Kluyveromyces lactis: one gene and its partners. The protein of the gene in region 2 interacts with the protein of the main gene of each other region in a pairwise test. Links are inferred from orthologs where the notes say so. Each region holds a gene or a part of one and is shown on either strand. Other genes may lie near its edges. The genes, in order: PRP43, TMA23 and RPA34.

Region 1 (4,263 bases), on a different chromosome or scaffold from region 2:
TTGACCAATGCTTGCTGCAGCGATAGGAGTCCTGTCGAAACTCTTGAATTTCTTTTCCCAATCAGAACTCAATTCTCTAGCCAGTAGCCTGTCCAACTGTCTTGGAGGCATATAATTAGCACTGTTCTGAACTCTTGAAAGTATCGTGTATAATTGCGGAGGTAAAACCTTCTCATCCTGGAATGACATTAGTTGGCCCAACTTTAATGCTGCTCCTCTCATTTGAGAGAATTTATTTGCAATCCTTTCAACATTAGAATCTGATAACAGTAAATCTTTAAAACTTGATGATTGGCCACGACTCAGCTGAGTGATACTTTGAGATGCAGCAGAAATACCCACACTAGCAGCTAGGTGGCCGTAATGAAAAAGCCGAGAGATACGTGATGAAGGGACTTCTGAACTTTCCAGTTTATTAGCCTTTTGTTTGTTCACCAATTTATCCTCTGGAATAGCGTCAGCTGCTTTATTAGAACACCTGTGATAAGATGAAAAATGTCTCACATTTTTTTTGTTCTTGACTGAGCACTTGCTAAGGTGTGCTTTTTTAGAAGAGTGCCCTTTCGTAGATTTTCTGACGGATTCAGAAAGTTTACGGGCATGTTCCCAGTCCTTGTCGTAAAACCATTGAAATTTAGACAGTACCGGTCTTGTCAAAGTGGAAGTTTTTAGCCAAATATCAAGAGACTGTCTACCAATCGAGGCAGAATTTTTTACCACGTTGCAGAAGGACTCTGATAAACAGATAGCTTGATATAGCCCTTTTCTCGACATTGAATACAGCGATACTTCTCGATATCAATTAATTCAGCCGAAGAACTATCAGATATCACAAGATCAAAAATAAAGGGTGAAAGTATTTGATCTATCCAATGATACTACGAGTCAATGGTCAAATTCATGAATATACAGCGTAATAAGAATGGATTAAGACTCTGTCTTTACTTTATTACCTTTCCTTATTTCATGAGAGAGTCGAATCGTACAGATATCTTGCAGAATAATCCATCTTTTGAATTTCAAATAGATGCTTGTTTGCTTGCTTGCTCTTGCCATTCTAACCTTTGTTATCCGGGTAATGATGGAATTGCGATTTTGACATATGGACGTGTAGTTTTTTCTTTTTTAAAAATTTTAATGCAAATTGTAACATTAAGCTCATCTCATCTCATCTCATCTAGTGTAGTTCAATACTAGAGATAGTAGGTTAAGTGGTTATAAAATCCCCTGAATATTAGATACTACTGCTGAGTTTGGTTTACTCCGTTAGAGATTATTCGCATTACCAGTTGCAAAACATCAAACGTTGAGTAATTGACGATGGGCAAAAGAAGGTTTTCAAACGAGCATGTGTCTGCTGTTGAGACTTCTATTCCGGAGCATGCAGCTGAAATCGCAGAAAAATTAACCAAAGATCACCCTCCACCAGCAGCAGAGCCTTTAATTCATCATGATTCTGGTGAGTTCAGCGGGATGCAACGCCATCACACTACTGCGGCCGATGCCGAAAGATTGGAAAATGGATCAGTTAATCCATTCACTGGTGGCTCACTATCAGAGAAATATTTCGGTATTCTAAAGGTAAGAAGAGACTTGCCAGTGCACGCTCAAAGAGATGAATTCTTGAAGATCTATCAAGAAAACCAGATCATGGTTTTTGTTGGTGAAACGGGTTCCGGTAAGACCACTCAAATTCCTCAATTTGTGCTGTTCGATGAAATGCCACATTTACAAAATACTCAAGTTGCTTGTACGCAGCCTCGTAGGGTTGCTGCCATGTCTGTGGCACAGAGAGTTGCTGAAGAAATGGACGTCAAACTAGGCGAAGAAGTTGGTTATTCCATTAGATTCGAAAATAAGACCTCTAATAAAACTATCTTGAAATATATGACTGATGGTATGTTGTTAAGAGAAGCCATGGAAGACCATGACTTGAAACGTTACTCTTGTATCATTTTAGATGAAGCACACGAACGTACTTTGGCAACAGATATCTTGATGGGTCTTTTGAAACAGGTTATTGATCGTAGACCTGATTTGAAGATTATTATCATGTCTGCTACTTTAGATGCTGAGAAATTCCAAAGATACTTTAATAAGGCGCCACTTTTAGCTGTCCCTGGTAGGACACATCCAGTGGAGATCTACTATACACCAGAATTCCAAAGAGATTATTTGGATAGTGCTATAAGAACTGTTTTACAGATCCATGCTACGGAGGAGAAGGGTGACATTTTGTTATTCTTAACCGGTGAAGATGAGATTGAAGATGCTGTAAGGAAAATATCATTAGAAGGGGATCAGTTAATTAGAGAGCAAGGTTGTGGTCCTATCTCTGTATATCCATTATACGGTTCTTTGCCTCCACATCAACAACAGCGCATTTTTGAACCTGCTCCTGAATCCCATAATGGAAGACCTGGTAGAAAAGTCATTGTATCTACTAATATTGCAGAAACCTCTTTGACTATTGACGGTATTGTGTATGTTGTTGATCCTGGTTTCTCTAAGCAAAAAGTTTACAACCCAAGAATTAGAGTTGAATCCCTTTTGGTCTCTCCAATTTCAAAGGCATCAGCTCAACAAAGAGCTGGTAGAGCTGGTCGTACCAGACCTGGTAAGTGTTTCAGACTATATACTGAAGAAGCTTTCAAAAAGGAACTTATCGAGCAATCATATCCTGAAATTCTCCGTAGTAATCTTTCTTCGACAGTCTTAGAACTAAAGAAACTAGGCATTGACGATTTGGTGCATTTCGATTTCATGGACCCTCCTGCCCCAGAAACTATGATGAGAGCCTTAGAAGAATTAAACTTTTTGGCATGTTTAGATGACGATGGTAATTTAACACCTTTGGGTAGATTGGCTTCTCAATTCCCTCTTGATCCAATGCTTGCGGTAATGTTGATTGGATCCCCCGAATTTTCTTGTTCCGAAGAGATGCTAACGATTGTCGCCATGTTATCCGTACCTAGTGTTTTCATTCGTCCTTCGAAAGATAAGAAAAGATCAGATGACGCAAAGAACATATTTGCACATCCTGATGGCGACCACCTAACATTATTGAATGTCTACCATGCATTCAAGTCAGACGAAGCTTATGAGTACGGGATCAACAAGTGGTGCCGCGACAACTTTTTAAATTATAGATCTCTATCTGCTGCTGACAACATCCGCAACCAATTGGAAAGGTTGATGGTTCGTTACAATCTCGAGTTGAACACTACAGATTATGACTCCCCTAGATATTTCGATAACATTAGAAAAGCGTTAGCTGCAGGCTTCTTTATGCAGGTCGCAAAAAAACGATCTGGCGGAAAAGGTTATATCACAGTCAAAGATAACCAAGATGTTTTGATACATCCTTCAACTGTTTTGGGCCATGATGCCGAATGGGTTGTATACAATGAATTCGTTCTAACCTCCAAAAACTACATTAGAACTGTAACATCAGTTAGACCTGAATGGTTAATAGAATTAGCACCAGCTTATTATGACCTCGATCACTTCCAAAAAGGTGACATTAAACTATCGTTAGAAAGGGTAAAGCAAAAGCTCGATAAAATGGTGGAGCTACAACAAGAAAAAAAAAAAAGTGCGAAATCTAAAAAGTCTAAGAAATAACCAAGCATATAGATGTGTAACTTATATAATAAGATTAACCTTAGAATCAGCATGATAAGTCTTATTGTAGAAGTATTGTGCGGTATTATTAGCACGCGACTCAAAGTCTACGTTTTTTTTGCTGCATTTTATTGAAATTCGGTATGGTGTACGTTTTATATTCAACCCATAAGAACTTCGCTTATGATATTTCAGTGTAAAAAATATAAAATCAAATCTCTAGGAGTGGTTTCATTGCAATGGCGCATATAGTATCTGTGTTGCATATTTTCTTTTGTATCTAACGATGCTAGCAACACATAAAGTATTATGTTTAATAGAAGACGTTGCTAAATGATTAAGAACGACGTGGTTAGGAATTGGCAACGCACCTGAATTATTTTCACTACCTGGTTCAGCATTTTTGTTGTAATTATTGAGAATAACATTCTCCAACTGAGGTGGAAGTTGTGGAGGAGTTAACCATGACATATTTTGTTGATTGTTCTGTTGCTGGTCTAATGTGAGATAATACTGTTCCATCACCGAAGGATCTGTAAAGACAGCAGGGATATCCTGAGTATACTCATAATCGGTCTTTAGCTGTTGTTCCTCTTTGAAACGGGTGTATCCGTTTCCCATATCATCAGGGTCTTCTTC
Region 2 (2,613 bases):
TTTAACACCGATTTCACAGTATTGGGAAATTTGTCTGATTCACTGATTGATCCAAACCAGGATAAAATGAAATTGCTGATGATGTTATTGAGTAAGATATCAATTTCTTTTGATAATGCTTCGTTATTGGGGAACAAGGCTTCTTGACCGGCAAAATTATCATCATCTGAAGTTTTGGTAATAGGTTTATCACCTGTGAACCTTAGCGTTGGTTTTGTTGGGAGCACCCGAGGTTGTTCATTTAATGCAAGATATATCCAAATGATTGACAAAAGAGACGCAACCGATAGGACAAACAAACACTCCCCCCACCCCAAGAAGAAGGGAACCACGAACAAAACATGCCACTTGAAACTGGGCATTTAGAAATTCAATATATGGACTGCTGCCAATGGAATGCTGTTAAGCCGCGTCTTGGGCAGTATCTTTTCGACAGTGGAATAATTTAGCTTGTTTACACTATTTGTTGAAAACCTTGAAATGAACTAAATGCGTTTAAATCGTCTATCTAACGAGAATTTTTATATACAACATGTACGTACAATGGAGGGATGATGCTGCAAGAAGAAAATAAAGAGAACATCAATGTGAACTTTTACGCTTGTGTGTACCCTTCTTATCCTTCTTATCCTTCTTGTCTTTCCTATGCTTATCCTTCTTGTCTTTCTTATGCTTACTCTTTGGCTTGTCAACCTTATGCGACTTCTTCTTCTTCTTCTTCTTCTTCTCGTCTTTGCTCTTTTTATCTTTCTTCGATGTCACTTCAGAAACAGCCAGTTTAACTATAGTAGATCCATTGTTGGACGGCAGATCTGTTTTAATGGTACCTTTCAACACTTCACCTCTAACAAATGATCGATAAAGTGGTGAATCGCTCTTTGATATGGAAGAAGCGACGACTTCGTTTTGTTTGAACGAGATCCCATCGGACCCGCTTTTGATGTCCAAGTTTCGAAGTTGTCCGTCGAACAAACGTTCCCACCAGGCTTCACTGTCATCATGTCCTGGTGCACATCCAAGCCCTTTCTTATCTTTCTTGTGTTTCACAAGAATCGGTTTTTTCAGTCCTCCGTTCCGTAAGGCCTCACCTTCTTGCCAGCCATACGATTTAAGGTACCCTTTACTGTCCATGGGTAATATATGGTGGAACTGAGGTATAATTATCGGGGATTCACAATGGTAGATCAGCAAACAGATCGGTAATCTTACCAATGTCAATGTCACTTTAATTGCTGTATATCATCTTCTCATCTCATCTCATCGCGAGTTGAAGAATTTCTTTTCAAAGAGAAACATTTCGATTGTGGTCACGTGAACACAGTCTTCATCATTACCCGGAGCAATAGCATCACGTGCCACGGTTTTTCTTCTTTTCCTGTGTCATTTAAGGTTGTCACCACACTGCCAAGACTTACTCTATGGAGGATCTAAAATTACTTAACACATGGGGCTACACCGTGGCTGGCTCCATGAGTTGAGGCCATGAAACGTGTACGTTTCATGCTCCGCCTGAGACAAAACCACAAAACCCCAAGAAACCTCTAATTAATTGGTATTCAAAACACACAACTCCACAGATAGACACGGCGTGTGTGTATTCTGAGTGGGCTTTAAACTCTAAACTCTAAACTCTAAACCATGTACATCAAGATCTCCGGCACGTGACCTGTGTTTAAATAATCACTCAACGAGCATATGGCACCTTGAGTGATTATAAATCCCCAATTTTAGCAAACAGGGCTGGCTGGATCGATGCCCGGTCCGAACAAAAACGTGTAGAAAACCGTTTTAAATCAGTAAACAACGAGAACGGGCGAAGACTTGCTAAAAATACACTGACAAACGTGCGTATGTGATGCTAACACCGTTCCTTTCGCTTCCTTTCGTTTCGCTGTTGCGATGAGCAAAATGGTGAAAAATTTTTTTTTTCACCTTCCCACGGTGTGGACAATGGCGTGGCTCATTCCGACCTACTGAGAAAGAGACCTCAGAGAAAGACTCCAGAGGACTCGAGTGTCATCGACAGCGATCCTGGGCGATTCGGAATGGGGCCTAGGGCTAGACACTAGGAAACCTGCGTCTTTACGATCTTGTGTCATGTGTCATGGTGCCACGATTTGTGTGTAATGACGGAGAAAAATTCCAACTCTGGCGGTGTATGTGTGCTCGTGTGCCCTGAGAACATTTTAGACGTTTTGAACATTCTCGCATGTGTGTGTGGTCATTATTATTTCATTACCTAATTGCTAAAACTCAGCTCACCTTTAGTTGAGATTAAGGCACGATGTCCATAATCTTTTTATATAATACATATATATAAGCAATATATATATTGGGTATATGGTGAAAATAGTAGCTGAGGGGATTTCAAGTGTAATCACGAGATAGATAGGGAAAGAGAAAACCTTTTCACAAGCCAGTGAAGCCGAGGATACCTGTCTGCGCAATACCTACTAGTTTACGATGTCAGCATTCAACGATTATTGTACCGTTTGTGGCCAATTGATTGAACGTGGTAATTGCGATGCTCAATTGGATAATGACAGGTTATACTGTTCTTCTCAATGTCAAGAAAATGATAGAATGACCATTGAGAATTTAAAGTTAACCAAT
Region 3 (2,693 bases), on a different chromosome or scaffold from region 2:
AAGGGGTTACAAAAATTCAAGTTTGACCCAAAGAGGAACACTTTACAGTACGTATCCATTTACGATGTGCATTCTGCGGAGGAATTGCTACAACTATTAAGATCACAGGCGACGTTCAAGGGTATATCATGTAAAGAGTTAAAAGATGGTTGGCCACAATGTTTTGATACAATCGACGAGTTAGAAGCAAAGAACAGAATCCTTGTTCTTCGGACAAAGAAGGATAATTCTCCAAGGTTTGTCTGGTATAACCATGCTGGTCCATCAAGGCAAATCGATGAAGAGTTCGTTACGATGTGGGAAGCTTGTAAGCTACCTCAGCGTAGTGAATTACCAAGAAAACTACAAGATTTGGGTCTCAAGCCTGCTAGTGTGGATCCTGCTACGATCAAGAATGAGCAAACCACAAGGAAAGAGGTCAAGAAACGTAGATCAAGAAAGGGTAAAGTTACCAATACACATATGGCTGGTATATTGAGAGATTATTCCGATAGGGTATGAAGATACCTACTTTTTATAATGAACGTATTCTACATATAACCCAAATTAAAATATGACCAGTGCGTTATATATAAATAATATACAGAAAGACCAGAACGAGTGCTCTAGTCGTGCTTTCTCTTTTTTTTGCTAACTTTCTTCAAATCTTTATCCTCGTAATACCCAGTTGCGAAATGTCTAGTCTTGAGACCCTTAACCTTCAACACATCCTTTCTATCCACTCTTACCTTAGAATAATCAATGCTTGGAATCTTTGCAGTTTCGCTTATGGTAAAGATCTTATCAAATGATCTTGATGCAGATGAATCGACGGTCAACTTTGTCTTATCTACAGGAGTCAATAATGTCAATTCAGAAGAAGAAGATGCACCAGAAGTGGAATTTTCTTGTTGGATTTCCTCCTTCACAGAGAAATGTTTACCTTTTTGTTCGATGCCAGTTTCCGACTCCGCTGTGAAATCAATAGGTAATTTCGAAAGCTTAGAGACATCTAAAGATTTAGGAAGTTTGATAAGCCAAAGTTCTTTTTGCTTCAAGTTCTTAGGCTTCACGAATGATTTCAAATGTGTACATTTCTTATAGTTTTCAGGTGGAACGAAAACGTCCGTTACAGTTTCTGATGATCCATCATTATCGCTGTCGCTATCACTGATGTATTCCTTTGAAAGAGTTTTGTCGACCTTGGCCATTGTTTGAGATATTTCTTATAACGTTTTGCGAGTGGAATAATATTACAGGGAAGGGTGTAACAAAAACTCACCTGAACTAGTTAAACTGTAATTGGAACCCTAGGACCACACAGAACCTCACTTATCTGCCTCTGTGTGTCTATTTGAATCTGCAATGAGATGAGATGAGCTTAAACCGAATTTTTTCATCTTGGGAAAGACTTTTCTTTCTTTTTAGACGTTACCCGGGAAAATGCACGTGGTTAACACGTGGAACAAACTATCGTATTCATGAAATCTGTTCCAGTTCATCACAAACCATCGAGAAATGGTATGTCCGACTTGAACAGCCTTCGAGCAACATTTATTGGATCACTAATACTATGATTCCCGTTGAATGGTATGACATCGATGCCCTAAGTACTTGGTTTACTGTATTATCATGTCGAACGACGCAATTATTCCAAAAATTTTTTCCATGCTTCTTCGACACGAAGAATATAAAAAGGCTGGTAATGAGAAACAAACTAGACATGTTAAACTCATCAAACCATTTATCCAGGTTAGGTATTGAAAAGTTCTGTAGGTTGTTCTCTAGCCTCACTTGCTGTTGGCAAGTGAGCTTTATAGTATCCTTGATGGAGCAGTGTTTCACAGCCGTGAAACACTGATTCGTCTATGTTACGCTTGGAAAAGAGACCTTTTCCATGAAGAAATAAACGTAAAAGTTTGCATATACGTGGGATTCATTATTACTTCATACCTTACGAAAGAACTTCAAAACATTTAACGATGATGAAAACGGTCTACACTTCTTTCCCAGTCCGATATCGACCATGACGATATGGGAGTCTACCATGTTGTTGTCTTACGGGGCAACGACTTTTTAAGCCAGTACATGCTTTGACATGTACAATTTAGATCATCTGAGTTTTCTCTTTTTAGTTTTCTTAAGGTCAAAGTAACAGTGAAACAAGATCCATCGTCGTATCTTCTGTTGCATTTATTTCTTCAAAACGTTTCACTTCTTCTTTTTAGCTAAGAACATGATTGTGCGTTATGGATTTTAACATTTTTTTATATGATGAAAATTGGTTCCTTTACATTCGCAGTTTCCACGGTAGGAGTACGCCTACGAACCCATCGTTAGTACTCTTCAGTGACCGCTCTTTATTGAGACCTTCCTAGGATGTCTGATCTTTTTATATGTTATTATCCATTTCCATTTTCAATCCTGTTATCATCGCAGAACCTGTAGAACTGTCAATCTTTCTTGCTTTGTCTTATGTATCTAAAAGGCTTAATTATACTAATTACAAAACGCCAAATGGTCTAGGCGTCCACTCGGTGACTTCTTGCCAGTTGGAGATGGGGGCATTGCTTTGTTTGATCTTTTTGAACTGATTTTTCAATTCATTCAAGTCTTTCAATATATCCAAGGCCGGGGAATCTTCCGAAACAGGCTCTATTTCTTCAGAAGACGTCCTTTTCCTTGAATTGTAGAGCTCTAATTCAACGTTCCTG

Evidence for each region.
Region 1: the proteins of TMA23 (region 2) and PRP43 interact in a two-hybrid assay, tested with the Saccharomyces cerevisiae proteins (2 studies listed by BioGRID, with this or other methods). The link is inferred for Kluyveromyces lactis from reciprocal best matches to the Saccharomyces cerevisiae genes TMA23 and PRP43.
Region 3: the proteins of TMA23 (region 2) and RPA34 interact in a protein complementation assay, tested with the Saccharomyces cerevisiae proteins (2 studies listed by BioGRID). The link is inferred for Kluyveromyces lactis from reciprocal best matches to the Saccharomyces cerevisiae genes TMA23 and RPA34.

What each region holds. Positions count from the first base shown.
Region 1 is NC_006038.1:40,964-45,226, forward strand, and holds PRP43 (DEAH-box ATP-dependent RNA helicase PRP43), read left to right. Parts: upstream 1-1,320; coding exon 1,321-3,624; downstream 3,625-4,263. Other genes in the region: protein kinase COQ8, read right to left, coding at 1-774; KLLA0_B00583g (protein kinase subunit beta), read right to left, coding at 3,856-4,263. UniProt on the Saccharomyces cerevisiae protein: Pre-mRNA processing factor involved in disassembly of spliceosomes after the release of mature mRNA.
Region 2 is NC_006040.1:170,654-173,266, forward strand, and holds TMA23 (Tma23p), read right to left. Parts: upstream 1,132-2,613; coding exon 583-1,131; downstream 1-582. Other genes in the region: MDM1 (Mdm1p), read right to left, coding at 1-362; ECL1 (Ecl1p), read left to right, coding at 2,464-2,613. UniProt on the Saccharomyces cerevisiae protein: Trans-acting factors of the ribosome biogenesis process.
Region 3 is NC_006037.1:552,798-555,490, forward strand, and holds RPA34 (DNA-directed RNA polymerase I subunit RPA34), read right to left. Parts: upstream 1,191-2,693; coding exon 606-1,190; downstream 1-605. Other genes in the region: transcription factor TFIIE subunit TFA2, read left to right, coding at 1-501; rRNA-processing protein LAS1, read right to left, coding at 2,483-2,693. UniProt on the Saccharomyces cerevisiae protein: DNA-dependent RNA polymerases catalyze the transcription of DNA into RNA using the four ribonucleoside triphosphates as substrates. Component of RNA polymerase I (Pol I) which synthesizes ribosomal RNA precursors.